Linked DNA regions of Tamandua tetradactyla. The protein of the gene in region 4 purifies or fractionates together with the protein of the main gene of each other region. This does not show direct contact. Links are inferred from orthologs where the notes say so. Each region holds a gene or a part of one and is shown on either strand. Other genes may lie near its edges. The genes, in order: RAD23A, PAAF1, PSME1 and PSMD1.

Evidence for each region.
Region 1: the proteins of PSMD1 (region 4) and RAD23A purify together in Homo sapiens (affinity purification with western blotting; 4 studies listed by BioGRID and IntAct, with this or other methods). This does not show direct contact. The link is inferred for Tamandua tetradactyla from reciprocal best matches to the Homo sapiens genes PSMD1 and RAD23A.
Region 2: the proteins of PSMD1 (region 4) and PAAF1 purify together in Homo sapiens (affinity purification with mass spectrometry; 3 studies listed by BioGRID and IntAct, with this or other methods). This does not show direct contact. The link is inferred for Tamandua tetradactyla from reciprocal best matches to the Homo sapiens genes PSMD1 and PAAF1.
Region 3: the proteins of PSMD1 (region 4) and PSME1 fractionate together in Homo sapiens (co-fractionation; 3 studies listed by BioGRID, with this or other methods). This does not show direct contact. The link is inferred for Tamandua tetradactyla from reciprocal best matches to the Homo sapiens genes PSMD1 and PSME1.

Annotation. Positions count from the first base shown.
Region 1 is NC_135337.1:89,717,494-89,724,431, forward strand, and holds the start of RAD23A (UV excision repair protein RAD23 homolog A), read right to left. Parts: upstream 3,002-6,938; 5' UTR 2,891-3,001; coding exon 2,819-2,890; intron 1,478-2,818; coding exon 1,316-1,477; intron 1,148-1,315; coding exon 966-1,147; intron 824-965; coding exon 768-823; intron 636-767; coding exon 508-635; intron 278-507; coding exon 199-277; intron 79-198; coding exon 1-78. Other genes in the region: CALR (calreticulin), read right to left, coding at 5,272-5,475, 5,571-5,663, 6,179-6,322, 6,409-6,522, 6,618-6,827, 6,914-6,938. UniProt on the Homo sapiens protein: Multiubiquitin chain receptor involved in modulation of proteasomal degradation. Binds to 'Lys-48'-linked polyubiquitin chains in a length-dependent manner and with a lower affinity to 'Lys-63'-linked polyubiquitin chains.
Region 2 is NC_135334.1:72,048,442-72,055,980, forward strand, and holds the start of PAAF1 (proteasomal ATPase-associated factor 1), read right to left. Parts: upstream 3,009-7,539; 5' UTR 2,768-3,008; coding exon 2,721-2,767; exon of another isoform or gene 2,417-2,720; intron 1,066-2,416; coding exon 1,025-1,065; intron 1-1,024. Other genes in the region: COA4 (cytochrome c oxidase assembly factor 4 homolog, mitochondrial), read left to right, coding at 5,073-5,333. UniProt on the Homo sapiens protein: Inhibits proteasome 26S assembly and proteolytic activity by impairing the association of the 19S regulatory complex with the 20S core.
Region 3 is NC_135340.1:30,655,825-30,663,789, forward strand, and holds PSME1 (proteasome activator complex subunit 1), read right to left. Parts: upstream 3,016-7,965; 5' UTR 2,765-3,015; coding exon 2,726-2,764; intron 2,023-2,725; coding exon 1,990-2,022; intron 1,890-1,989; coding exon 1,827-1,889; intron 1,714-1,826; coding exon 1,603-1,713; intron 1,514-1,602; coding exon 1,468-1,513; intron 1,336-1,467; coding exon 1,238-1,335; intron 984-1,237; coding exon 915-983; intron 830-914; coding exon 762-829; intron 645-761; coding exon 590-644; exon of another isoform or gene 586-589; intron 509-585; coding exon 422-508; intron 239-421; coding exon 158-238; 3' UTR 40-157; downstream 1-39. Other genes in the region: FITM1 (fat storage-inducing transmembrane protein 1), read right to left, coding at 5,973-6,585, 6,974-7,245. UniProt on the Homo sapiens protein: Implicated in immunoproteasome assembly and required for efficient antigen processing. The PA28 activator complex enhances the generation of class I binding peptides by altering the cleavage pattern of the proteasome.
Region 4 is NC_135329.1:207,000,419-207,007,532, reverse strand, and holds the start of PSMD1 (26S proteasome non-ATPase regulatory subunit 1), read right to left. Parts: upstream 3,016-7,114; 5' UTR 2,849-3,015; coding exon 2,833-2,848; intron 1-2,832.

The DNA.
Region 1 (6,938 bases), on a different chromosome or scaffold from region 4:
CTGGGTTCTGCTGAATCACCTGCCGCATGTTCTGGAACTGCGGCTGGTCCCGCAGGAACTCCAGGGGGTTCTCTCCTGCTAGCAGTGGGAGGGGGTGCAGTCAGAGACCTTGCAGGACTCCCAGGAGCCACGGGCTGGCTCAGGTGCCACGAGGGCAGACCACCCCACCCCATCCCCACCCTCTTTCCTGTCCCTCACCTGCTTCTGTGGCGGGCTGCTCCGACACCTGGCTCTCCTGGATGGAGCCATGCTCTGGTTCAGGGCTCCCAGGAATTCCCTGACAGAGGTCCTGTTGAGTTCTAATGCACAGACCTCCCGCCACCCTCTATTGCATGCCCTGCCCTGCCCTGGTAGGAGATGGGGGAGGCCTTGGCCCTGCCCTCCTTAGGCCCACCCCACAGCTCACATCCACCTTCCTGCAGGAAGTCTTTCCTGCTACCCAGTCTTTTGGGAGCAGGTTTTGCCTCTTCCCAAGACCTCCTTGGGGAAGCGGCAGCCCTGCCTCACCGTGAGCAGATACTCCACAGCTCGGTGGGGGTTGTTGTAGCTGGCTCTTAGAGCAGCCACAACCCGCTCCCGCTCATAGCCCATGGACATGATCTCTGTCAGCATCGTTTCATACTCAGAGCCAGTCACTGTGAAGGGAGCAGCAAAATCTGGGTCACCAGGGGGAGGGAAAGGCATGCCCAGGCTCTCCGACACCCAGATGAGGCCCAGCAAATGGCTGGGGAACCTGGTGGCCTCCACCCTGGGGATCACCCACACACCTAGCGTGGAGGCCGCGTCTTCCTCTCGCCCGCTGCTACCTGAAGAGGGAACAGAGCTGCAAATTCAAGAGAGAGAAATCGGACCCTGGCTTCTGGCATACTGCCCTCCCCCACCCAGGAGTGTGGGGCCACAGATGCAGGCGCTAAAATGGGCTGGGAAACCTGGGGCCAAGCCGGAGCAGCTGCCCCCTGCCTTACCCTGATATGGATTCCGGGGACGTGGTGAGGACTGATTCCTCCGATGGGCTCTTGTCCTCTCTGGTGGTTGGTGGGGGATGGGACATGCCGGAGGCAGGGGCTGGTGGGAAAGCTGTGGAGGACTCCGGGGCAGCTGTGGGGGAGGTCTCTGGGGGTGCCGAGGTGCCTGAGCCAGCTTTGGCCTGTGGCGGCCAGGGAAAGGGAGCGGGTGTCAGCACCCCTATCAAGCCCCAACATCCTGTCCCATTGTGGCCCCACCCTGTTTATGGTTAATCTGTCCTGGGCACATGGGCCCTTAGCCAGTTCCACAGCTAAACCAACTGCCCTCCCAGGTAGCACCCTTTATGCACCTTGGTCACCATGACAACCACAAAGTTCTTCTCATCAATACGATAATCCCTGATGGGGACATCATCACTCAGGATTTTGCCAGCATAGATGAGCTTCTGTCCAGCCACAGGGAAGGCATCACGACCCTTCTCAGCTTCTATCTTCTCCTTTAGGACTTTCACCTGGAAGGAAAGGTACAGGCACTCATTGCTAAACCCAAGATTCCCTCTTCTCTTCTGGTTTAGGAAAGGAGAGACTGCAAGCACTGATGACAAAGAAGCTGGAGTTGAATTCCTTCAATCATCCCGACACTCTGTGGAGTGTCTACCAAATGCCTGCACATCACAAACAACTGAGGTCACAGGAGGGAACAAAACCCAACGCAAGTCCCTGTTCTCACGGACATGACACTAATATACACTTCAGATGATATAAACTACAACAATAAAAAAACAGAATAAAGAGAAGAGGGTCACCTATACCTTGCGGCTGACCTTGGACAATAAGGTCAACAAGTAGCTGATATTTACTGAAAACCTCCTAAGTTGCCAGTGCTAATCTAAATGTGTAGTATCACACTTTCTAAGCCTCATGATAACTGCATGAAACAGGTGACATCAACTACATTTACCGTTTGAAAAAACTGAAATTAAATAATTTGCCAAAATCAAACCCTTGGGCTGTTCAAAAAATCTCAGTCTGTGTCCTTTTCTATAAAAAGTGGACTTCAGTGTCTCCTCCACAGGGTGGTTGTGCAAAAACTGCTGGGTATGTAATTACCCATTCAATATGTTTGAGTTTTCTAAATCTTCTTTCAGCTAAAACCGGGGCATCATGTTTAGACCATGGACTCTCACATGAGGCAGAACGAAATGTGAATCCCAGCTCTGCCACTTACTTGCTGTGTGTGTCTATGGCAAAATTCTTTAACTCCTGGGTTTCCACATCTGTAAAATGGGGAGAGTCAGAATCCCCAAAACGACAGGGCTGTTTTGCAGATTTAGTAAGACAAGGTTTCCGAAACGCTCAACAACTGGTAATCAATGAACCGCCAACAAACTCGGACCGCCGAAACTATTACGATTGCGACCATTTATTATCAGTGTCATCGTCGCCAGCACCAGTCGGCATCTCCGGGTCAACCCTCCCAGATTCGGTCACCAACCTCCCGAAATGCCTCCTGCAGTGCTGGGAAGGCAGAGTACCAGTGTAGGAGAGCGTGGTCTGACTGGGAATCCGAGCCTGCAGCTCCCGCGCCCCGTGAGGGCGCTGACATTGGAACTGGAGTAGCAACTTGGCGGGCGCCGCGGGGGTGGGGCCTCGCCCGGAGACCGACCCCAGATACCACGGTCTGAGACCGCGTCAGCGGAGGTTCGTCGGGGTTAGTCCAGCAAGTGGGGGAGAGGACAGGGCCGGCCAGCACTGTCCTCTCCGCCCCTCCCGCTAGGATCCCGGTCTCCCCGCCCCCACCCTAAGCCCCGGCACCCGTCGCTCCCGCCCCTAGGCCCCGACCCGACCCGCACCGTCTCGTCAGGCTCCATGCGGATCTTGAAAGTCTGCTGCTGCAGCGTTTTGAGCGTGATGGTGACGGCCATGGCGGGGCCCGAGCAACGCGGCGGCCCCAGGATCCTCGCACAACATGCAACTCACGCCGCCGCCATCTTAGCGCCCAGTCGCGCCGCGCGCCGACCGCTTCCGGGGCAGACGGGGCGCGCGCCCCTCCGGATCCTCGTGGACATGCGCACCAGCGCCCTCTCGGGCCAGGCATGCGCAAACTGAACTTTGCTTCCGCGGGAAGCGGGGGAGTGCTCCAAACTCAGAGCACACGCCAGTCAGGTGGCTCCTGTGAATGACGTCATGCCCCTAGCGGTGACGTCATGCGACCACAAAATGGCCCCGGAGTCCCCTCTTCCACGCCCAAATGAGCTTTTTCATTTGTTGAAGTTGAGCAAAATTCTTCACGTACTTATTAGACATTTGTATTTCTTCTGTGAAATCTTTAGGATTTTTCCCCTTAACAAACGAGTTTTACATTATTTTGGTCTGGCGGGCTGCGGGGCCAGGAATATGGAAGGTACTTGAGATTGGAAAGGATCCTTGGAAGATCACCAAGAAATGAAAAAGTTAAAAAAAATCCATCTGGGCGTGGAAACAGGACACCCTCTTTGGGGGCCTCATTCATTCATTGCTGAGGGGGATCTGCCTTTTGGGGGATCTCTCCCCTTTCTGCTGCTACTTTCCCTGCAACTTTGTTAACCCTACACTATCCCTAGTGGAACCCAAGATATTTAAGACATCAGTTTTCAAGTCCTTTCTCCACTGAGTACATAGGTGCTGCAATCCTGGAGGCACCTGGAGAACAAGACATGATTTCCAGAAAGGAGGGGTTGAACTGGGCCACAGGCTACATACAAAGGACTTAGGGAGGGAACAAGGCGCACCAGTTTGCCTTAGCTGACGGTTGCTTTGGGGGGCTGGATAGAGACAAAGCTGGTCTTGAACTCCCAATCAGTGGGCAAAAGGCCCAAGTGCAGACCAGGAGGTGGAAGACAGAGTTGCAACCTCAAGATACCTCCAAAGCTGCCCCTTTTGCTATTCAACCAAACCTGACACTTCATGGCCATCATCAAACTGTAACCAGGTCCTGCTGCTTCTCCCTTCACTGGAGCCAATAAGGTTCCACCAGCATTGGCCAGAATAGGGTCAGGCCAGGGCCAGCTGACATCTTATCCTTTTCTTCTGCAACAGGGAACACCGGCCTTCTCCTATTCTCCAACCGGCTCAATGGACTTTCACTTCCCTGACAGCACAGCTGTTGGGGGTTCTAGGTCAGTTTCGGAGGCCCAATGCCACCTCAAGCCTCTCCCTTTGGTCCATGCCCTTCAAGTTCAAATCCCAACTTGGCCTCTGAAAATCATAGGGAGAAACTTTGTCAAGTTTTATCTCTGAACCTATTTATTCAATTATAAAAAGAAGTGATAGCTTTTAACCACACTGGCTGGTATTAAAACTGTTTATTAAAGCGCCAAACCACTGTTTTCAGCTTATGATGATTATGGTGTGGGTTCAAACCCAGCCCTATTACTAAATTCTGTGTGCCACAGTCTCCTCACCTATCAAAGCAAACTGGTACTAGAACCAAAACTCAGGTTTGGTCCAAGGAATTGAGTTGTTACATGGAATACTTTTTAATAGTTGAGTCTCCTATTGGTTTGGGATTGCCTGGCAAGCAAGGGTCCCTGCAACCTTGTCTCCTTAGCAGCTAAAAATGTTGAGACAACTCCTTACTCAGGAGCCACTCCTCCCCAAGAAATGCCATCTCTGGATCCCTGGATCTCTGCTCTCTTCCCAGAAGGAGACACCGAAGAGAGACACAAAACTTAATTTAATAGAAATTTTGTTTGTAGTTTTACATTCTGTGAGAGCTGAGCTGGAACCCGCTGCCCCGCCCAGAAGTGGCCCAGTGCTAGTAGCAGAGGAAAAGGGGAAAGGGTTGGGGGGACGGTCTTAGGAGCCCCAAATTTCCTCAGTGCTGGAGGGCCTGGGGATGTCACACTCTTTCTCCTGCTACAGGGAGGGGAGCAGATGGAATCTCAGACCTGGCACTTCTCCACACATGCCCACCCCCTCCCCCCAGGCTGGAGGGAAATGAAAGGATAGAGGAAGAGGACATAGGAAGGAAAAGATGTCAATCAAAAAAGATGAAAGCCAAAGGGTGGGGGCTGATGTAGAGAGCATCAAAAACAAGGCATGGTAAAAAAAAAAAAAAAAAAAAAAAAAAGGTTGGGGGGAGGTGGCAGGGAGGGAACAAAATAAACAAAACAACAACAACAAAAAATAAACCACACCCCAAATCCAAACCCGCCTGGAAAAAAATGAGAAGTTCTCCAGTCTCATAGAGACATTATTTGGAGCGGCCAGCTGTGGCGGGCACGCTCAGGCCTCAGTCCAGCCCCGGAGGCGGGCGGCGTGGCCTCTACAGCTCGTCCTTGGTCTGGCCAGCGGCAGCATCTTCCTCCTCTTCTTCTTTGTCCTCTTCCTCCTCCTCCTCCTCCTCCTCTTTGTCCTCCTCTTCCTCCTTGTCCTCCGCTTCCTCCTCCTCTTTGTGTTTCTTCTCCTCCTCCTCCTCCTTTAGCCTCTGTTCCTCGTCCTGCTTGTCCTTCATGAGCTTTTCTGCAGCCTGTGGGGGACAGAGCCTTTGCCTCAGTGCCCAGGCCCCACTCGCCAGCCCTGCGTCTGCTCCCTCAAACCTGGGTAGGGGGAGCCCGATCCTACCTTCGTGACACCCCACGTCTCGTTGCCGAACTCCTCGGCGTACGCCTCATCGTTGGTGATAAGGAAGTTATCAAAGATGGTGCCAGACTTGACCTGGGGGTGAATGGAGTGAGGAGTGGGTTACCCAAGACGGCCCTGGCCTTGGGAAAACTCCCACCCGCGGTGCTCCTGTAACCACTAGATGCCGCCGCATCTCTGCAGCAGTCAAGAAGCACCTCATGGACCAAGCAGCACAGCTAAAGTTGCAGTTAAAAAATGGGGGCTGCGAGACCCACAAGGGGTGGGTTCCAATCCAGCTCTGCCCCTTCCCGCCTGTATGGCCTTAGGCTGGCGACTTCAAATTTCTGCCACTGCTAGCAAAGCAAAGTTTTCTAACAGGGCTGCTTGACCACCCCCGAGATTGGTGGAGGGAATGACAGGTACTCAGGGAGAGCCCTGGCACTCAATAAGTGCCTTTAGGACTGTAAAGGTTCAGGAAGGGCCTCACAGCAACAGGGCTCTCAAAGCATTTTCCAGTCGGGCCTGCCTGGGTCTGAATCCTACCCTGTCCCTTCCCTCGCAGGTGACCTGAGGTGCCCCCAGGATCCTCCTCCCACTCTGGGTCGCACCTGCCACAGGTCCAGGCCCAGCACAGCGAAGCTGTCGTAGGAGTAGATGTTGGCGTCAGGGGAGTACTCAGGGTTGTCGATCTCTGGGTGGATCCACTTGCCTTTGTAATCTGGGTTGTCGATCTGTCGGGGCTTCCACTCGCCCTGGGGAAGAAGAGAATGGCATGGTGAACAGAGGCCGGTGCCCTCCCCACCCTGTACCCCAGCCCTTACTTGGAACCCAAGCTCACCTTGTACTCAGGGTTCTGAATCACTGGCGGTTCCCACTCTCCATCCATCTCTTCGTCCCAGTCCTCAGGCTTCTTTGCATCAGGGTCGGGGATGTGCTCAGGCTTATCCCAATCCTAGGGGGGGAGAGTCGGGGAACCACGAGGACATCAGAGTGAGCCCACATGTCCACCACCCCTTTCACAGTGGTGGTCCCTGTCCAGGCACCAACCTCGGGCTTGGAGTCTGTGGGGTCATCAATCTTGGCCCGCTCATCCCAGTCATCTGGCTTGGCGGCATCGGGATCTTTAATCTTCTTGGGGGGCAGGAAATCCCAGTCCTCCTCCAGGGAGCCCGACTCCACCTGGCTGTTGTCGATCTTTACCTCGTACGTGTTGTCGGGCCGCACGATGAGTGTGTACAGGTGTGTGAACTCATCATCCTGAGGAGGGTGGGAGGTGAGCAGTCCCGCCCTCCCGGATTCCTGCCCTTCCCCCCACCAACCCCCACCCCACCCCTCAGACACACCTTGCAACGGATGTCCTTGTTGATC
Region 2 (7,539 bases), on a different chromosome or scaffold from region 4:
TTTTGTCATAAGAAGCAATAATACTGCCTAGCTATATATTTTTCTGAGTGCTTTCTCATTGTAACCTGGGAACAACTCTAATAAATAGCGAATAATGCACAGATTTCCCCCCCTCATTCTATATTGGGGGAGGATGAGAGATAAGTGAATAGAAATAAATTTTTAGATTTACTTCATGAAATCCTAGGTCTGAATAAAGCAACATTTATGCATTAAGGACAGAAAAGCAGATGCTGTGAATATCACCGAATGATCACATGTAATTGGAGAAATGATTGTAGTCTAGTTTATGTATCTAAATTTTATGTATGTAACAGAATCTAGAGGCATAGAGGGTGAGTAAGATGGATAAGTCTCATCCTGTGGCAAAGAGAAAATGGGTAGGGAAAGGGAGAGAAAAAAATACAATTTCATATTGTGGTAAATCCTGTGAAAGCAAAACTGGGTGATAAAATGGGAGACAAAAAAAAAAAATTTGAGTCCACTATTACCTAAATCTTTAATTGTATCTTTCACTTTGAGGTTAGTAAGATTATCATTATTATGGTTATTATCGATGGAGATTTCCCTAAGTAGCCATCCTATGCAGCCATCTTTACTTTCAGATTCTATTTGACCTTGGAACAATCTTTCATTGATATTTCCTAAGGCTTTCCTAGACCTCCACAGTACCATATATTCCATATTCTTTTATCTCTTTTATCACATCTTAGTTTTTCTGCTATTATCTTCATTTGGTATTCTCCTAAACAGCCTCTTCTCTGGGCCTTGCCATGGGTCTCTTTTTCCTTCTCTTTCACATGCTTTCTGGACAGTTTCATCTACATTCAAAGCGAAGCAAAATCTACATGCTGATGACAACTTATCTAATTTAAACCACTCAGTACAGCAGGCTGTTCAAGCACAATTTAGGACTATGAGTATTGTGCAAGAAGGATGAGCCAGGAGAAAGTAGGAAGCTCTTGTCTATGGGTAGTACATCCTTCTTCTCTAAAAGGAAGGTATACAGACTTATGGACATTACCTGGGGGATGACAGCTCAGCCAGGCCTCCCCTTCATCCTTCCTATTGAAGAGAGACAAAAGCCTAATTAGAGTCACCAAAAGTTGAAACGGATGCCAGTGATGCAGAAAGAGAAAGGTCATATCTCTAGGGAGAAAGGCCATATAGACATGATCTAGTACAGCACAGATTATTCTAAGACAGTGGAATTTTATTTGTTGAAGTATTTGTGGATTAGGTATTTGATGAATAGATATCGACTGGTTAAATGAATGTTCAAATACTTCAATTGTTAGGGAGTTCACTACTTCTTTGCTGCTGCACAGCTTTGAAAAATCAAAGTTATTTTATATTTAGATATTTACTGGGATAATTGTAAACCAGGTCCTGTGCTAGGCATTTTGCATATAGTACCATTAATCCTCATAACAAGAGAGCAAGAAACCATTTATTATCCCATGTTAAAGAGAGAAACTGAAACTCAGATAAGAATCCCTTGTTCAAGGTCACCTATCTATGAAGCAGGAATTGAGACCTGGTGCTGGTACACCTCACACTGTTTTTTACATGTTTTAGTATGCACCTCTACAATCATCTCAAATTCTGATCTCTTTACCCTACACTTTCAGGTTATAGTGGAAAGGGCCTAAGCTTTTAAGAAAGAAAGATCTAGGTTGACAGCACTCCACTGTTACTTATTCAGCAGCATGATCTTTGACAAGTTATTTCTCAGATTCTGACTCTTCATTTTCTTATAAGCACATAGTGGCACTAAGTAAATGTTAGTATTCATCCTTTATTACTTTACCACACATTCTGTGATGCACTAAGTAATCTGTACATCAGTAATCCACTTAGCAAGGTGAAAGTATGCTTTATTCATCTTTATCTTTGCTTCCATTTGAAAAACCTTAGTAGTAATAACAGTTGCATTTATTACACTGCCATACCTATCCTGGTGCCTAGAGAAATAACTGGCATACAGAAGATCAATAAATATGTTAAATGAATAAATGGTTTGTTGGGTATTCCCAATTACACTGACTGGTTCTTGAGGGAAGAGTTACCATTTGTTGCACTGCTGACTCATCCTGGTGCTTAGTACATAATCAAAAAATATATGTTAAATGAACAGTTTGTGGTGAACAAATTGCTTTCCCAAATTACATGATTAACTTTTTGAGGGCAGGATCCACCCCTGAAACTCAGAGTACATTTCTAAACTCCACCTAGAATGTAGTAGTGGGCCTGAATTGTAGATGTTACACTGTCTCCTGAATAGAACTGTCAATATGCCTAATATACCGTCAGGCACTGAGGAAGATACAAAGATTTTATCACGCAAAGATCATGTGGTGTGGTGGTGGATACTGGAATTTTTGCAAACAGTTGATTACCCATAAATCTTTGCTAAATGACACCTGGGCCAAGAGTCTTCCTGCCTCCCAGTTTTCCTGTCTTTCTACAACTCAATGATCAAGTTCTGACGCTGGGGTCACACAGCGTCCGTCCGTTTGGCCTCAAGACAGCTCTTCAGAGAGTAAAAATCAATGACTATGTGGATTTGAAACATCTTTTCTAGATCCAGTCTCCTCCAGCTCTCTCTACAGTTGATGAGGCATCCACTAGGGATACGCTGGACCGGGCATGGCTCTCCTTGATGCAAGGGCAACATCCGCTCCCCGCCTCCTCCCACCTCGTTCTGGGCTTGGATTCACCTGAGGGCCTTAGCCCAGTCGCTCTGAAGTCTCAAAGGCGCCGCCATGTTGACCCCACCTCCACCAGCCGGCCTCTTCCACCTGCTCGGCTCTTTCCCGGAAGTGGCTCCCCAGGACAGGCTGAGGAGAAAGCGGAGGGCGGGAGCTACACTAAGAGACCACCAATGAAAATACGCGGTGCCCCATCCCTTCCTATGCGTGCCCAGGCCTGGCTGGAGGGGCCGGTGTTTGAGAGGAGCGAAGAAAGAGCCTAGCTGCTATCCAGACTGTCGCTGCAAAATCGACGCGCCACGCAGGAGCGCGCGTTCAGGTCCTCTGTGTCCCTACCGGGTGAGCATGGTGTGACGTGCCGGGTGGCGTGCGGGGACTGACGGCACGCTTCCTCTCCTTAAAGTGGGGAGGAGCCTTAGGTTACCTGGCCACTTGGATTTCTGTGTCTTCCCATTTTTTCCGTGCCTTCCTTTTCCAAATCGCCCTGCACAGTCTGGCTGCCGACGTTCTGATTTAAGAACAAGGGTCTTCCTCATTTTACTCCTGGGGACACTGAAGCCGGGAAATAATGGGGGAAGAGTACGGTAGTATTTACTGAGTCCCTGTTGTAGTCCATGCATTTTTTCACCAATTATTATATTATTCTTCACTTTAATCCTGCAATTGAATGTTATTAACAAGGAAACAAAACTAAAAAGTTACATGTGAGGCGTGGTATTAGGATTGGAACCCAGATCTCTTTCTTGGCTTAGGATCTAGGGCACTGCCCCATGTGCATAATCTAAAAGATTTGTCTGTTGCCTTTGAAGAAGTCAGTGTGGTTAGGAAGAGGAAACATGCCATAGGAACCATCATTTATTGAACTCTGGAAGTGTCAGATTCCTTACGTGCATTAGCTCATTTAGTCTTCAACAATCCTGCAAAGTGGAAATTATTTACTTCTATTTTTCATGAGAGATTAAGCTTGCCCAAGATCACCCAGTGAGTCTGACAAAACTGGATTTCCAACTCAAGTCTGTTTTCAAAGCCCATTTTCCAACAACCCTCTTAAGATTATAGTGTTTTTCAAAGCAAGAGTTTTGTGTAGGGCCAAAGAGCCCTGAAATCCCTCTCATGACTTCCCCATTCCTTCAGGATAAAAAGTAAACTACTTTACAAGGCCTGCAAGGTCCTGCCATGATGACATATCTCAGCACTCCAGTTTTTTGTTGTTGTTGTTGCCCTATTCTCCCCATACTCTATACTCCAGTCAGAATGAACTTTCTATTTTCTTATGTGTTGAATCTTTCTCCACTCTTGTGCCTGGACATGCTTTTCCCTTGGCCAGGAATATTCTTCCTCCCCATCCATGGGTAACTCATTCATGTTTTCAAGGCAATTCATCCTTCAAGGCTTAGCTCAGAATCACTTCCTCCAGGAAACCTTCCCAGCCTATTCCTACCTTTGTCTGAGTATGTAGCCCTCTTCTGTCTTGCCGGTCTTAGTCACACTGTATAATAAACTATCGTTTGACTATGTTGTAAACTTCATGTACGCATGGATTGTCTTAGTCACTCCTGATCATCAGCTCTAGCATAGTGCTGGTACTAGAGGGACTCAGTGATTATTTGTTTAGTGAGTCAGAGACACAGGAAAGACATTAAGGTTTCCTAGCTCCATTACAGCCTTTCTTGGTGAAATTTGTACCAAGTCTGATGTCATTTTTTCTCACTCTTTTCTAAAGTTCTTTCCATATGAGTACTCTGAGGCAGGTAATCTTTAAAAGATAGTGGGCAAATACCTCACATTTTTGTATAGTTGACAAAGCGCTCTCCCTCACAGACTCAACTCTTGCTCTGCTCCCAGCATATTGTATGCTGTAGCCACATTAAATTCTCTCCATTCCTCTCATGTATCAACCCTACCCATATTTAGGTATTCTCCCCAATATTAAATTCTGTTCTTCTCCAGGCATATAAGGCCAATAGTAGAAAACAAAAGAGATTAATTCTGTTGGGGTGAATTTTAGAGATAGCTTCTCCAAAAAGGTGACATTTCATCGAGCACCTATTCTATTAGTAGAATCCATTGAGCATATCTAGTGCCATTTGCTGTGTTAAGTGTTCTCACATACCTTATCTCTTTCAGTCCAGTTCAAACCATTTTGCAAGCCTGTTCTCCGCCAGGCCTAGTGCTAGGTAGTGCTAAGGGCAGCAAGGAGAATCAGGCCCACTGTCTGTCCTCAAAGAACATACAGTCTAGCAGAGAAAGACAGGCTGTAACAGTGTGATTTGGTAAGTACTATTTATAAAAGAGGAACCATGTATAAATCATATACCTGCTTTAACCTTGCCTCCATTGATGCTCTAGAGTCTCCCCAAGATGTCAACCTCAGTCCCTAATGGCCATACTTGGGCTCAGAAAGTGAAGAAGGAGGATGAAGAGGACCCGCTGGATCAGCTCATCTCCCGCTCTGGCTGTGCTGCCTCCCACTATGCAGTGCAGGAGTGCATGGCCCAGCACCAGGACTGGCGGCAGTGCCAGCCAGAGGTGCGAGCCTTCAGGGACTGTATGAGTGAACAGCAGGCAAGGCGGCGGGAGGAGTTGCAGAGGAAGAAAGAACAAACCAGTGCCCACCACTGACATCCCAAGCTACCTATCCCCAGAGGATGGCCCTGAAGAAAGCAGCACCCAGAGATCATAGGAAGAAATCCTAAATGGTGGAAGTGTGGGCCCTGAGATCTAAAACTTGGGGATACCCTTTAGGACGGGTTGAGAGCCAGATAGCCATGAATTTGGACATAACTGTCATGTTTTCATAGTCAGATCCCACACATCTTACCCATCTTGTTCCACCAGTACTGCCGTGTAAAATGAGTTAAGGGTGCCCCGCTACCCCAGATCTGAGTCAGTGTGGAAAGAGCTGATTACATAGACTTTTTTAATTTTAAATGTAAATTCACATCTAAAGGTAAATTGGTGGCCTGATCAGATCTTTGTTTATTCAGTCATTGATGTAACAAAAGGAAATTGTTCTGAGACTCTTCACATGTGCCAGGCACATGTGTTGGCACATGTGCTAGAAGCTGATGTGATAAATAACAAGATCATGCTGCTTAGGGTCTAGTTTGAAAGAAATAAAATAACACTGCATTCATGCTGCTTAGAGTCCAGTTTGAGAGAAAAATAAAACAATACTGGAAAAGCTAACAAATTCATGACAATGACATAACTGCCTTTAGCTTTCATCAGTTGTTCTGAATGCTTCATCTGGTCTAAAGGGAGAAAGAAAGCAGTGGAAGACTTCTTTCAGCAAACACTGAATACCTGTTATATGCCAGACCTCTGAATTAATCAGATACAGAATGTGGCCTCAACAAATCCCAACCCCCAAAAACACAACATTGGCCTAACACTTATAAATTATCATTAACATTAAAATGCAGACTTCTCAGCTTTTGAAAAATGGAAAATCTGTCAACATGGAGTTTGTTTTCCCACTTGGCAATAATTTGGTAAATCTGGATTACAGTGTCTCCTTTCTGGGGTGCTGTGTTCTCTATTTCATAAGAGTTGCTACAACTTCTCATTTTTCTTCCATGAAAAAACATTCACTTACTTCCTGCTTAGCCCTTTAAGGCATGGAGTGGAATGCCACAGAAGCTGATATGAAAAGAGGGTCATATGCTCACATCATAAGTAGCAAACATTTCTTGGGCACCTATATATTAGAAATCCAAGTCCAAAGTATAATAGGTCTACCTAAACCTACTCTGAACCTTGTGTTGGTATTTTGGGGAAGAAGAAAAGATGATAATAGGAGAAGCAGTCAAAAGAACAATAAAATCCTATTTCCACCTTCAAGCTTATAGTGGGATGAATGGGTACATATATAAAGTTGAATCTCTACGAGACCATATAGGCTCAGTGCTGTGGGTCGTTAGAAGGAGCAAGCAGTGTGGACTGGAGCTGTCAGCAAAGGTCTGAGAGGCGGAGTTGAGTAGAACTTTTCAAGACTTCAAGTGGACATTACCTATTTCTAACATGTAACACAAAGGATTACCATCCAGAATAAATAATAATATTCACGCTATTGAAAGGATCATAAATTAGTAAAACTTTTGAAGGGTAATATTTAAAATATTTAAACAGTAATTCCTCTTTCAGGAATCCTTTTTTTTTTTTTATTTTTATTTTTTATTTAAGGAAGCAATACATTTAGAACCACCAAAAATGGATTATCTTAGTTAGCTTAACAATAGGCATATTTAAATAAAGTATCCCGCCAAGTTGGCTTAGAGAAAAAGGTTACATCTGAGCAACAAAAGAGGTTCTCTGGGGGTGACTTTTAGGCATAATTATAAGTAGGCTTAGCCTATCCTTTGCAGGAATAAGTTTCATAGGGGCGAACCCCAAAATTGAGGCTCAGCCTATTGAACTGGATATCCCTGCTGCTTGTAAGAATCTTATGAGTTCCACAGATGGGGAAGTTAAATATTTCCTTCTTTCTCCCTAGTCCTTCAAAAGGACTTTGCAAATACTTTTTTTTTCTTTTATATATATATATATATTTCTTTTAATTGTAAACAACAAACAAACATACAAATGTTCTTGACATACAAACATTCTTGACATGGTTACCATCAGTGGCTCACAATGTCATCACATAGTTGTGTATTCATCACCATGATCATTTTTTTTTAATTTATTAATTAAAAAATAAAACTACATAATCCATAATTCACAATATCATCACTTAGTTGCATATTCATCATTTCTTAGAACATTTGCATTAATTCAGAAAAAGAAAAAGACAATAGAAAAAGAAAGAAAACGAACACAGGGAAAA
Region 3 (7,965 bases), on a different chromosome or scaffold from region 4:
AGGGCCAGGGGGACCAGGAACCAATAAAGAGACTTGGGCTGATGGGCAGCGACCGGTATGACTATATTTATTTTCCCTGGGAGGCAAAGGAGAGAGAAACCTCAACAGGATGAGGTGGGGGGAAAGTCTGGAGTCCCTGGTAAAAGGCAGGAGGCTCTCAGTAGATCATTCCCTTTGTTTCTCCTCTGGGCTTCTTGAGCTTCTCGAAGTTCTTTAGGATGATGTCATATAGCACGGCCTACAGGACCAGGGGAGGAGTGGGTATCAGCCAGAGGCCCCCAGAAGCTCTGTGCCTCATTTCCAGCCTTGTGAAGAGGCTTAGCTTTGTACCCTTCACCCACAGCCTGCACGGTCAGGGTATAGGTAGCCTGGGAAAGCTGTCTCTGCCCATCCCTGCCCGGCCCTGCCCTGCCCTCCTCACATAAGCATTGCGGATCTCCATGACCATGAGCCGGATGTCCCGGTACTCTGCCTCATCCAACTCGTGCACCAGCTGCCGATAATCCCCCTGAGGGAGAATTGAGGGTAGGGCCTGACTTCATTCCAGTGTGTCCTTCCCTCCATGCACCTTGGCCTGGGCCTCACCTACCACATGGGGCTGCTTGGCTGCCTTGGTCACGGCATCACCACGCTCCAAGAAGTACCTGTGGAAGTGGGAGAGGTGTGAGGAGAGGGAGAAGGCAGTATGAGCCCAGGCCTCTGTACCCAGACCAAAGGCAGAGGGTGCCTGTGGGTGTGGGTATGAGTGGGTGGTCACTCACTTGGAGATTTGGGTGTGGAAGCCTTCCAGCTTGGTGTGAAGGGTGGTCATCAGCTCAAACACTTTCTCCTGGGGAAAGAAAGCATTGGGGAAAGTAGAAGGAAGCAAGGACCGGAGGGAACAGGAGGACCAGGGAGTGGGGGAGCCCTCACACCTGGACAGCCACTCCAAAGTTGTTCCCGTCCTCAATCCGAGGTATCTGCAGCTGCAACCAGGTGGTGACCTGGGAGGAAGGAATTGTGTCAAACTCATAACAGCCTGTCCCACCCAATTCCCAGGCTCCTGCACGCTCCTGCTTTCCTGCCCACAGTGGGTGAGGGTGAGCCAGTCCATCCTGGGCCTCAGGGCCTGCTCTGGCTTCACTTGCTGTGCCCACTCCTACTAAGACCTGGCAGGTGCCACGTGCCCTAACTGGCGGGGACCAAGGAGGACAAAGGGTTCCATCTGCAGCCTGGGGGTAGACGTGGGAGGGCTCACGAGGTTGAGCTGTTCAATGACATCCTTGATCTCAGGCTTCAGGCGCTGCAGGAGGACCACGATCTTCTCATTACAGCTCACTGGGCCACAGGGAGGACCTGGGGAATGGGCAATGAGTCAGTCACATGATCAGGCCTGAGTGAGGGGTGGGGAAGGGAAGAGGAACTCTTAGGGAGGAGCTCCTGGGGGGTGGGAATTAAGATCCTTTCCACTGGACTGGTTTCAGGTACCTTTGTCTTCATCTTCCCCTTTCTTCTTTTCTTCTTTGTCTTCCTTCTGCAGAGAGAGAGAAGGGCTTATGGAAGTCAGGCTTAAGGATGATTTCCCTCTAGGGTGGGTCCCTCCCCCAGCTTTCCTGAGCTTGCCTCTTGCTGTTTTTTCCGTTCCTCTTTCTCTTTCTCCTTGACTGGATCAGGCACTGGGATGTCCAACGGAGCCTTTAGATTGCTCAGGTTGGCTTCATTGAGAGCTGGCTCCTGGTGCAGGGTGGGAGAAGGGCTGAAGGTAAGGGGGTCCTCTCCTTACTTTCCTAGTCCCCCAAATTCTTCCCTTGGCCCCTACTCTCTATCCCCATGCCTGGCCATAGTACCTTTAAAAATGCATCCAACTCAGAAATCTTCTTGGGGAAATAGCTCCCAAGCAGGTTTTCTGCCTGTGTGCAGGTGGGGGTGGGGGGGGATGGGGTCAAAATCAATGTCCTTCCTAAGCAGTGGAGCAGGGCTGGCAAGGGAGGGCTGATGGGCAGGTCTCACCTTGGTACACAGGTCTTCACGGAACACATCCACCTGCGGAGCACAGGCAACCCCTCAGAAACCTGACTTGAAGGCCAGTATTTGAGGACAGTTCCTTTAGGGTTATGTAGGGCCTGGACCTGGGAAGGGGTGGAGTGAATCCCTCTAAGGCCAGACTTGAAGAAAGTGAGATGGATCTCTGTGGGGTTTGATCCGGGTGGTACAGGAGTGGATCTCTGTGGGTCTAGATTTGGGGAAAGTAGTGTAGATCCCCAGAGAGAGAAGTAGATTCCCCTGCGGCTGGATTTGGAAGTTGAGAACGTTCCTGGTGGTGAAGGGTGAGTTGCTGATGTGGGAGCAGATCCCCTGGGTTGTTAGGCCATGTTCAGAGGACTTGTAGGACAGAACCCCCTGCGATTGGGGAAGGGATGGAGGGGGTCCCGGGCCCTCTGTGAGAAAGACCATCAGGTGGCACTGCTGGCCCCACACCCTGTCTGTGTGTGGCCCAGGGCCCCAGGCCAGCGGACTTCCCCTGCACGCCAGCTCTCTGCTTCACCTCACCCCACTGAACCACGGCCCCCTCGCCTCTCGGCAGGCAGCCTCTCCGGTTTCCACGTGAGCTCAGGTGCTCCAGACAGGTGGCCTTGGTGGACTGACCCCCCTCTTCATGTCCGGGGCTGGAGGGGGAGGGCAGATCAGGGAGCCTCTCCGCACCACGCCTCCCTAATGGGCCCTTGCTGGAACCCGCAGCGCTCACCTTGGCTTGGGCTTCAGGCTGGACCCTGAGCGTGGCCATGGTCGCGGCGGGCCGCCTTGCGCCGCACGAGGAGCGAGGAGTGGGCACGGAGAAGGAAAAGCGAAAGCAGCCCTCGCCACCCGCCCGGCCTTCCTGGGTAGCGGGGAGTGTAGGTACTGGAGGAGGCGGGACAGGCCGGGGATAGGAGAGGGGTGGAGGGGCGGAGGAAGGCAGCGAGGCGGGGCTCCCCCTAGAGCCCAAAAGGAGCCTTTCCAGCGACCTCCCCCGCCCAGCCGGTCTCCCACCTCCCTCCCTCCTCTCGACCGCCGGCCTCCTGTCTCCGCCCTCTTGCCCCCCTATCCCCCGCCTCTCGACGCCCCGCTTCCCGCCTCCCGGCCTCTCCGCCCTCCCTGCTTCCTCGCCTCTCGGCCTGGCATCCCCGCCTCCTCGCCGCCCTAGGCTCCCCACCTCGCCCCACCTTCTTGACTCCCTGCCGTCCTAACTTCTCAGCTCCTGGTTCCCCACTCCTCACCGGCTCTCCTCCCCTGCTCGGCCTGGCACAGTGATAAGCTTTACCTGCGGCTCAGAGGGGGAGCTCGTCCCGCCAGCGTGGGCATCCTCTAGCCGGTGAGAGACATGCAGACGCTGGCACCACCCTGATCCAAGCTCCCTGGACTCTCCTGGACTGTTGTTGCAGCCTCCATTCTTCTATAACTCACTCTCCACAAAATAGAGGGACCATGCCTTCCTCTGGCTTCAAACTCTTTCACAGCTTCCTGTTGACCTTAAAATGAAATCAAAAGGGCTTGCCTGATCCATAAGGCCCTGCCCGGCCTGCCTGGCACCTGTCCTCCCATTCAAGCTTCATTTCCCACTGTTTCCCCCTCCTTCATTACACTTGCAAACACTTGACCTTTCTGCTCACTTTTCAAACGGGTCATGTTCATCCCTGCCTCAGGACCTTTACCTCTGTTAATCCCTTTGCCTGAAACAACCTTTCCCTGGCTAGGGATGCCGCTGGGCTCTCGGCTCAAATGTCACCTCTTAGAGAGAACTCTCAGTCGTCCTTTCTAAAGTACCTCCCTCCAACTCTAAATACACAGCAGCCTGATTTAGTTCTTCACAGCACTTAACTCTCCGATATTACCTAGTTTATTTTTTGAAACAGAATATTGTAATGATTTAGACCAGAAGTTGGCAAACTTATTCTGTAAAGAGCCAGATAGTAAATATTTTAGGCTTTGTGAGTACATACAGTCCCTGCAACTAGTCAACTCTGCTGTCATAGCAGGAAAGCAGTCATAAACGATACCTAAATATTCGTATAGCATGACTGGTTTCCTGTAGAACTTTAATTTTTGAGCACTGAAATTTGAATTTCATATAATTTTCATGTCATGAAATCTTCTGATTTTTTCCAACCATTAAAAAATATAAATCCTGTCAAACTGAATGGAGATTCCTTTTTGAACTTGAAGGCAATGGTTTTTTTTTAACATGAGCAGGCACTGGGAAGGCAATGAGTTTTTAAAATGCAAAAATACAAATGATAAAAATTTAATAAATCTAGCCATATTCAAATTACTAACTTCTGCTTATCATGACATCATAAAAAATGAAATTACTAAGCAAAAACGGGGACCATCTATCTGCAACAAATATTCTTGACGAAGAGTTATTATTCAGACATAGGATTATTATCCAGAGTATAAAGCAAATCGATGAAAAAAAGACAAGCAACCAAATAGAAAAAATGGCAAAATAGGCACTTCAAAAAAGAAAGTTATAATGGTCAGCAGCTACATTAAAGATACTCACTTGCATATGCATATGGATAGACATATTTAAATTGAAATAAAATATTCTTACGCTCAGGTTAGCCCAAATTAAAGTATTGACTGTCGGCAAGAATGTAGACCAGCTAAAACTCCTGCGCTGTGTATTTAACATACATAATGGTACAATCACTTTGGAAAACAACTTGATATTTTCTAGTGAAGTAGAAGGTGTGTGTCCTAGAAATCTTATAAATCCATTCTTAGTTATACGCCAGGCATCTCTAGGAGCATTCATTTGAATGTTCATAGAATATTTGTAAAAGCCCAATTTGGAAACAATCCAAATATTTATTCGAGAATGGGTAAATAATTTATATTCAATTTATTCAACTACTAGAATATCAGAGGAAAAATGAGTGACTGCTGAAGGAACTCCTGAAAGTGATGGAAATCGTCTGTATCTTGAGTGTGGTGGTGGTTACGTGTGTGTGTAAACTCATAGAACTTTATATAATTAAAATGGATGCATTTTATTGTGTGTAAATTATGTCTCAATAAAATTAACTTTAAAAAATTAAAATATATATATATAAATCATTTTTAGCTCACAGGTCACAAGAAAGCTGGCCATGAACAGGCTATATTTTGCTAACCTCAGGTTTAGAACATAGATAATACGCCCATATAGTTCTGGGCTAATAATCCTGGCTCTGCTATTTACTAATTTGTAATAAGTTACTTAACCTCTGGGCCTCAGTTTTCCCAACTGTACAATGGGAACACTACTAAACTTCAAAGTGTTGTGATGAGGAATAAATGTGTGAATTTACATAAAGAATGTATAAACTTAGACAGGTGTCTGGCTGGTCCAGAAGCACAATGCATTTGCTGTTATTTGTGTTTGTCATCTGCCTCTCCTTGTAGCCCATAAGCTCCTCTACAGCAGAAACTCTCTCACTCATAGCATGAAATGTTGCTCGGCACAATAAATATTTGTTAAATGAATGAACACGCCCAGACTCTCTTTGAGGAAGAGCCCCTGAGTGGGGTGCCCAGAGAAGCAAGGTCCTGAGGAGGTCAGAGGAGAGATTCAGTGTGTGTGTGTGTGTGTGTGTGTGTGTGTGTGTGTGTGTGTGTGTGTGTGTGTGTGTGTGTGTGTGTGTGTGTGTAAGTGTATGGGGGGCAGGGCCAGGAAGGGATGGGGCTGGGATGGAGCATCTGCTCAGCCCAAAATGATACCCACACTCAAGGACGCTGTTAACTGCCTTATCAGCACCATTCCTTGACATCCCAACCCCAGATGGCTCTGTGAGGGTCAGGAGGCTGACAGTGGGAGGGATGTCCCAGGAAAAGGAACATTCATGGTGCCAGCAAGGAATGCCTAAAGAATTCCAATGGTGCCAGGCCGTCGTCCTACCCTTCCCATCCCTCCCAAGCCCCGGTCAAATGATGAGAGGACCCAGAGTCAGGCGTGCTGTCCTTTATTTCTTTCAGTTGTGCTTATGGCTGGAGTGGGAACGAGGGAAGAGCCCATGGCCTGGGCTCCCTGGGGACCAGGGCTGATGATACCAGCTGCCATAGGTGAGGTACCAGGCAAAGGTGCCCACGGCGGCACCCACGACCTTGTGGGTGTACTGGTGGAAGTAGATGACGGTACAGAGCAGCAAGAAGTTCCAGAGCCCCAGCAGCAGCACGTTGAGCAGGAAGACAAGGCGCAGTGGGGCACCAGCCGGGAGCCCATGGGATAGGTATTTGGCGAACACTGCTGCTTCCTCAGCCATGAGCAGGCAGCAGAAGGTGAGCAGGAAGGTGTGGGAGGAGACCGTGTAGCCCCGCCACTGGTGGCCGGCTGCCAGGCAGCTGCGGCGGTCAGGCAGCTCGTGGAGCAGCAGGCCCTGGGGTAGAGGCTCGAAGCAGGAACCCGTCAGGTCCTCGATGAGCAGGAAGGCCCGGCCGGCCCCCCGCCACACGGCTGCCCCCACCACCAGTCGGCTCAGGTGCCTGGCGGTCACCGCCACACGCCGTGTGGCCAGGAACACCACCAGCAACACAAATCCCCCCAGAAAGGTGCACGTCCAGCCCCACGCTGAATTCACAAACTTTCTGTGGGCAGAGAAGAGGGGAGACCACTGAGACCCCCCAGCTGCATCTCCCCACCCTGGTCTGTGTCCCCATCTCTGCTTTATCCACAATTCTGCGTCCAGTGTCACATCATCACTGGTTCTGTTTCCCGTGCCCTCCACAACCCCCGACCACTGAAACGCTGCCATCTCCCTAGAGGACCACCTAGCCTTCTTGGATCCGCATTTCCCCTTCAGCCCTGCTCCTCACTTCCCCATTCCCCCATAACTCTGTTCCCTCCCCCCGCCCACCTTCTTTTCAACCTCCTGGCCTATTTTTAGTGTTTAGGCTGGCAGGACAGAGGCCTGGGGGAGGGAGCTCGAATCCCAGAGTGTAGGGAGCCGGTTCCCTTAGCCTGGAGTTGACTCACATGTTAAAGAAGTTGCCGTGGCTGGCGAAGATAGTCCGAGGGTTGACATGGAACTGCAGAAGAGGACCGAAGATGACCACTGCTGCTAGCCAGGCGTGGTAAAGGCGCCGTAAGCAGGGACTGCCCAGGAGGCGAGCAGCCTGTTCACTTCCAAAGTATAGCAAGGCAGAGGCCAGCCAGAGCAACACCTTGAGCAGGCAGCCCAGCAGTGCCCGGATCCGGGTCCCGGCAGCCAGCCCTGGCCCTGCCCCCACCGCTGGCCCCCGCTCCATCTTCCCTCCCCTCCCCACTAACTGCTTGCTCTGCCGGGCAGCTGAGGAGGGGCTGATGGGGCCCCCACCCCCGGACACGGACAGGCAGTGACAGGTGTGGCAGACACAGGGCAGAGCCCTGTTAGCAGCTGACAGGCAGGGGCGAGGGGTGGGGGGAGGGAACAGAGTTATGGGGGAATGGGGAAGTGAGGCTGGGGCAGAGGACTGCCACGTCAGCAGGGTCCTGGTCTCTGGTGTGGTAGCTTGTGTCCTGACAGCCGCCTGTGCCCTTTTCCGTTAGCCCTGGTGTCCCCATGACGTACAGGTCTGTGTTCCCAGCTCCAATCATATTCTAGTTCATCTCTCAGGGCCAGGCCTGCCATTCAGGGTTATCCTTATCCACAGCCTACTTGGTTCTGCCTGCCTGTTTGGTCAGCCCAAATCCCCCTTCCATCAAGGATCATGATCAAACCTTAGAAGGCACTGAAAAAAATCTGTCTGCCTCATCGTCAGTGCAGTCCTGGCCCCCTCTCCTGGGGTTATGCGTACAAGAGCCCAATGCTGTCAGGATGCTGCAAGGTGGTTGTACACAGCACTGTCTCCAACTCAGGCCCTGGGAGGCAGCTCAGTAGGGCTGCCTACTTCACTGCACTGTGAACCCTGGGGGCATGGTCCGGCCCAGCTTCTGACTGATCTAAAAGGGCTCTAAGGGGCTAGTCTGGTCCCAGGGCTGCTTTGTAA
Region 4 (7,114 bases):
TGTACCCCCAGGAAAGTCATGTTTTTCTAATTTTCTTGTGGGTACAGACCTTTTGTTGGTTGGGACTTTCTGATTAGGTTATTTCCATGGAGATGTGGCCCATCCAATTCAAGGTGGGTCTGAATCGTCTTTACTGGAGTCCTTTATGAGAGTATAAAAGGCAGAGACATTTTGGAGAGAACTCAGAGAGAAACACCAAGGAAGGAACAAGCAAGAACACAGAGAAGTGCAGAGACGTTTCAGAGAAAAGGGCCAGCAGACATTGTCAAGTGCCTTCCCATGGAAGACAAGAACCCTGGATGCATTCAGAGTCAAGGTATCTTTATTTGGATGCCTTAATTTGGACATTTTCATGGCCTTATAACTCTAAATTTGTAACCTAATAAATCCCCATTATAAAAGCCAATCCATTTCTGTATATTGCATTCCAGCAGTTTTAGCAAACTGAAAGAGCTACCTCTAGGGATCAGAAAGAGGATGGGAGACTACTATGTTATAGCTTTTTAGCACTATTTACCTTTATGTGCCCATGTTATGTTTAAAAAAAAAATGCACATCTCCTCCAGCAACTACCTATCTCTAGCTCTCTACCACCTAAAACTTCTGGAAAGAATTAACAGAGCATGCTGTCTTCTTATTCACCACTGCCTACCTAGAAAGTACTCAATACACAGTGAATAAATGAATAAATAACCTGACTAATAAACACAGAACCATGTCACTGGACTCTTTAACACCTAGGACAGGTCCTAGGCCAATGTGAACCAGAGGTCAGGAAACAAAATGATAAAAGGTTTGGAGCAGATGGTGACAGGTAATCTAGTAAATTTAACAAATAGTAAATAATATGTAAACATTACATTAACATCACAGAATCTCAGGAGAGGACCTGGAAAATCATTAGTCCCACTACCCTCAGGAGGTTTTAATTCTATTATAGTCCCAATAAGTCCTTTTTCAGCCCCTCCATAAAAATCTGTAGTGATTGATTTACTAATTTAACTGCTTCATTCAAGATATAGTTTTTTTAAAAACTTTTGCCATGTGTCAGGCAGTATAGTAGGAATTGTAAAAATGACAAGTTTCCTCATGAAAATTCTACCAGGTGGAAAAAGATAGTAATCAGGAAACAAGGTAATTATAGGATTGTGATGGATAAGTCAATTAGTGGGAAGATAGGAAGCATGTTTTAATAGGATGGTCAGAAGCAACTAACATTTGCGCTGAGACTAAACACTGAGAAACTAAAGGAAAACTTGAGAAAAGAGGAGTCAAGTTAGACAAAACAGAATGTGCAAGGGTCCTGAGGTAGGAAAGAAATGGACATTTTCGAGAAACATAAAGAAGGCCCATGTGATGAGCTGTAGTGAGAAAGGAACAGAGTAGTATGAGATGAGGTAGGAATCGGAATACGTAGGTCTTTGGTCAAGAGTCTGAATTTTATTCTAAACGCAATAGAAAGTCACTGGAGAATTTTAAGCAAAACAATGATATGATGCGATTAAAGTTTTAAAATGAATACTCTGGCTACAGGATAAAGAGACTGTATGGAAGTAACAGTGGAAAAACAAAGTCTTCTTAAGGTTGTTATAGTAACCCAGGCAAGAGATGAAGGTGGTTTGGGCTAAGCTAGAAGCAGAGGTAATGGATGGATTTGATATAGAATGAGGCCTCCATTTAGGGGTAGCCAGAAAGTTAGTGATTGTTTTAACTTTAGACAGTTCTGACTAGAAAAGCTCTTATGTTGAACTAAAATTGATGTCCCAATCAATCATTGGCATTCCTCCAAGGCAAAAGTCTAATTCCAAGTACAGGTGACAGTCCTTCAAATCTTTGAAAAGAACTATACCGTCTCCCGACATCTCTAGAGCTTCTTTAACCAGTCCTCATAAGAACATGGTTTTGAGCTCTTTACCATATACGTTATTTTCTGATCACCAGCTTATTTACAACAAAATACTTGTGGGACAAGTGTAGAGCAAAACCGGAGGAGAAGAGGGTGTTTGAGCAGGCAGAAAAAAAAAAAGCACCAGAGTTGCGGACAACTACATGTAAATCAGTCTATAGCTGGCTCTGTAACTATAAATCCCAGTCTCTATCTGGGGTTTAGATCTCCGTTCAAAACTTGTTTTCTATGTTATCCCATTTCAAATGTCATTACATGACTTCTATTTATGCAAAGTTTAACCGGAAAAAAACTTATGGGAAAGAGGTGCAAGTTCATAAGCATGAAACCTGAACCACAGTTTTTTCTGAATGTGCAGTATTTACTACTAAGCATCTGGCCTCAAACAGGTGAGTCTCCGCGTGCTACTGCCGAACGCAAATGTTTTCTGAGTGTTTTAGCTGAATCCCCTCGGAGTAGATCCAGAAATTATCCACTTCAAACCATGTCAAATTTCACTAGGAGTGACCTCCGCGCTTAGAAACAGTTCGACTGCCCGCCCAGAGGCTGCTTCACAAGGCGACGGCACAGAGAACCGCATCCCTACCAACACCTGCGTGGGAGGCTAGGGATTCGACAGCCCACCCGGCCGAAAGCAGGAGGAAAAAAAGAAAGGAAAGCCCCTCCAGAAGGGACACGGGGGTGTGGCTGGGAGGGACGCCAAAGCGGTCGACCGGGTACGATCCCTCTCAGGCGAGAGAGTCGCAGGCCAGCAAAAAAGGTCCCGTCAAGGTCCCAGCCGCCCTCCCGGGGATGAGCTTTGAGCAGCGAGGGGCCGCACAGGCCGGCGCTTCGCCGGGAGGCGCCCAGTCACTGGCCCTGACTCAGCTAAAAGCCGGCGAGGCGGCAGCTCCTCCCTTTCGCTGCCGGCTCCGGGCCACACTTACCCGCTGAAGTGATCATGGCTGCGCCCTGCACTCGCCCGCCGGCTCACTGGCCGTCCTCGCCGCGCCGAGTATCTGTCAGCTCAGGGCCGGTACACTCCGCCGCAACTGCCCGTTCCCGGGATTAGCTACTCAGTCAGTTGTCTCCAAAGGCCGCCGGCTCACTCCTCGCCCAGGACCCCGCTTGCTCCGTAGCTGCCTGCAGCCCCGCCTGTCGGTAGGCGCTCATTTTCCCTCCGGCCTGCATTTTCCGCTCCGCTACCGTGGCTCTGGCTCATACAGAAGGATGTATGTATAGCTATATTATTTTCATCAACCCTTCTCGAGGCCAGAGCTCCAGCGCATCCAGGCTTCATCGACACTTGGGATCAGGCCGCAGCATGGCCAGCCCTGAAGAGAGGCCCCCCGCTATCACCCGCCATTGCTGACAAGATGTAGAAGGAAGGTGCAACAGATGCGCGCCGCGCCACCTCTTGGGCGGGAGGTCTCACTGCAGACCCTTTGGGGGAGGAAAGAACATTTAATAGAAAAGTGATTTTCGATTTTTAGTTTTAGCTGAGCCCGTCTTCAAAAGAAAACTTCTTAGAAGTGCTTTATTAGGATTAATAATTAATCATTGGTTTATTATAAAGTTGAACAATGAAGATTTTTATTTACTTTTGAATAGTTAGTGATGTACATTTACATGATTAAAAAACAGATGTACAAAAGGATATACAGTGAAAAATCTTCCAAAGGAAAAAAAAGTCTCCATCCTTGCTTCCCATCTGCCCAATTCCTCTCTGCACCCATAGCAAGGATTATTGATTCCTAATATATCTTTAGAAATTTAACACGGCAGTTACCGATTGCCATTTGCAGTCTCATCCCAGCTTCAATTGCCAAATTAATTTAATAGTCAGTACTGAGAAAGTCTTGACAAAGATAAGCAATGGCAAAGCTAGTTTTTCACTATCAGGTTACCCTTCAACTAGAGATGATAAAGTTTATTTCTGAGGCTTCTCAAAACAAGCTAATCTAGTGGCACACATCATTGTTTCATGGTTGCCAATGAATTAAACTTTGGCTGATGACACACTTGAGGATGTATGAAATTACAAAAAAAGAGGGGGAGTTCTTAAGCTTTACTTGTTAAAATATATAATTATTAAACATTTAAAAATAATTATTAAACATTTTTCAAAACCTGTGGCTTAGATGGAAAACCAACTGTTCTAGTTTGCCAGGTGCTGGAATGCAATATACCAGAAACAGTGGCTTTTAAAAGGGGGAATTTAATGAGTTGCTAGTTTACAGTTCTAAGGCCGAGAAAATACCCCAATTAAAACAACCCATAGAAATGTCCAGAGGCATCCAGGAAAAGATACCTTGGTTCAAGAAGGCTGATGAAGTTAAGGGTTTCTCTCTCAAGTGAGAAGGCACAAGGCGAACACAGTCAGAGTTTCTCTCTCATCTGGAAAGGCACATGGTGAACACGGTCAGGGTTCCTCTCTCATCTGGAAGGGCACATAGCGAACACGGTGTCATCTGCTAGCTTTCTCTCCTGGCTTCCTGTTTCATGAGGCTCCCCGCGAGGCGTTTTCCTTCTTCATCTCCAAAGGTTGCTGGCTGGTGGGCTCTTTGCTTCATGGTGCTGCAGCATCTCTGCTCTCTCCAAATCTCTCACTTTCTCCAAAATGTTTCCTCTTTTATAGGATTCCAATAAACTAATCAAGACCCACCCAAATAGGTGGAAACACCTCTCCCCCTAATCCAGTTTAACAACTGCTCTTGATTGAGTCACATCTCCAGGGAAATGATGTAATTACAGATTCAAACATAGAGTACTGAATAGGGATTAGAAGAAACAGCTGCCTTTACAAAATGGGATTAGGATTAAAACATGGCTTTTCTAGGGTACATCTACCCTCTCAAACCTGCACATAAACCTAGAGATATTCATGGAAAATAAACAGGTGGAGTATTTGGGGTAAAATTTTACAGAGGTACATCCAATGATCCCTCACATACAGATAATGTGTGTCCCCAAGCCCCCAGAAGAGTCATAAACAAATGCCAACAGGTAATGGCAATGAGTGAAGCTGCTCTAGTGTTAAAAACTACTAGCTCAGCAGGCTGATGTTAGAGAGGCAATAGGGAGTGGTGGGGACTGTGATAAAATGAAGAGTTAAGTATACCTTCTAAAAGAGCAGCCACTCCTCCTCAGTGCCTACAGTGTCACCATGTGCAACAGGGCTATTGTTGCCAGAGCATATGGTTTTTTTTAAGAAAAAGCAGAAATTTGAATTTCATGTAAAATCTTCTGATTTTTTTCCTGGTGCCTGCCCACGCAAAAAAAAAAAAAAAAAAAAAAAAAAGTCTGATTTTTAAATGTTGCAACTACTTCAAAACAGACAGATGACCAGTTGACCATCTCTATCTTTCATGGGCAAGATGTTCTCTATGGAAGGACAGTCATGTCACCAGCTTGGATGTTGTGCTTGTGATGACTTCAACTGAGTCCCAGGAGAATCTGTGAGATGGCCAAAAGCCAGTTGGCTTGGCCACATACATCAGGCCCCTTTCTCCTTGGGGATTCTAATTTCTGGCCTGGTTGGCTGCAATAGCTGCCTCAATGCCCCCCGCCCCTGCCTGGGGTTGCTCCCTCTCATCTAGTCCTGCACACTTGAAATACTGATAACCATTGCACAATTCTCCAGACCATTCTTCACATGGGGCCAGATGCCCCATTCAAAACAAGTTAAACCAGGACCTTCTCTTTTCGGTGGCTCTTTTGGGACTTTCACCTGACCCTGCTCACCCCGTCATCGCCTGCCACCCCTCTGGCCTGGCATGCCACACTCCAACCAACTTGCTGTGCTGCGGCTCCCAGAGTGGCCATGGGCCTTGCCTCTGACTTGGCACCTGCTCTCTCCTCTGAGCTCAGGGCTCTCTGTTCATCTCCCAGCCCCCACCCCCACTCCCAGCCGCCATGACTTGAGTCCCAGTCAAGCAGCACCTCCTCCAGGAAGGCGTCCTTGACGCACCCTTCACCACGTGCACCTTGAAGCCCTCACCCCACCCCGCCATAACCACATCCCCTGTACTTGTACAAATGGAACAAGGAATTGCTCAAGGGCAAGGCCACAGCATATTCATCTCGGGATTCCCTGTAATTTGGCACAGCACATAGGAGACGCCCAATCAATGTTTGCTGATTGAACAAATAAATGCCCAGGGTTAGTTAGTGTTGGGGATTGAATTGTGCCCCCCACAAAAGACATGCTCAAACCTTAATCCACATTCCCGTTTGTAAACAGGTCCTTTTGCAGATGTCATTGTTTGTTAAGGTGTGGCCAAGCTGAATTAGGTGAGTCTTAACCGGTGTGGCTGGAGGTTGTATACAAAGGGGAAACAGTGTTGCCGTCAGCAGCAGCCAGATGCACCCTAAGAAGAGAGAGCGATGGCTGAGTAGCGGAGGGCAGAAGACCTGAAGGCCACCACCCGGGAACAGCGCATGGCCTTGCTGACCTACGGCTTTGAAACCTCTGCCCTATCCCAAACTCTAAAACAGACCCCATTTTTCATAAGAGATTTAGAACTTGGTGAAGCCCTAGCAACCTTCACCCAAATTTAGAAGGCATGCAAAACAGGTGACAGCCCAAGCCAGGCCAGTGACCTCAACAGGTGTGGATGGGCCAGGGGGCTCTGTCGGGGTGGGAGTGGGGGGGAGCGCCCGTTCCCACCCTCCTCCGGGCGTCCCCGGGACCCGCGCGGCGCCCTCTAGCGGTCACCAACGCCTCAGACGCCGGAGAGCCGGGAAAGGGCAACAGCGCCGCCGAGCCTCCCGCCTGGGGCATCTAGATCGCCGCGTCTTAGAAAAGATCTAGAAACGTGCCCGATCGCCTCTGTTGGTGGCGGGAGAGGACTTGGCTGTCCGCGCGCCGGGACCTGCGGGGGAACCGACCCACGTGGCCGCCTGCGCCGAGCCCAGAGGCGTTGTCTCCCTTCCAACACGCCCTCGTACATTTTTACAATAAAAGCATTTATTTGTTGGGGTAGATTTTTGATACCAGCCAGTGCCGGGTCTGCGGATAACGCCTGCGCCGGCTGGCTTTGATGTGGATACACTGAGGCATGGACAGGTCCGTGGAGCCATCGGAGAAGCTGGACTCTCTTCTTGGCGTCCAGTAGAGCAACTAGAGGCTGCACCAGGCCAGCTGACTGCTGGAAACCACTGGGGTCCCCCTACCCCATGGCTTGGTGAACCACCAGGTCTGGGCGAGGGGCTGGGGGTGGGAGGCAG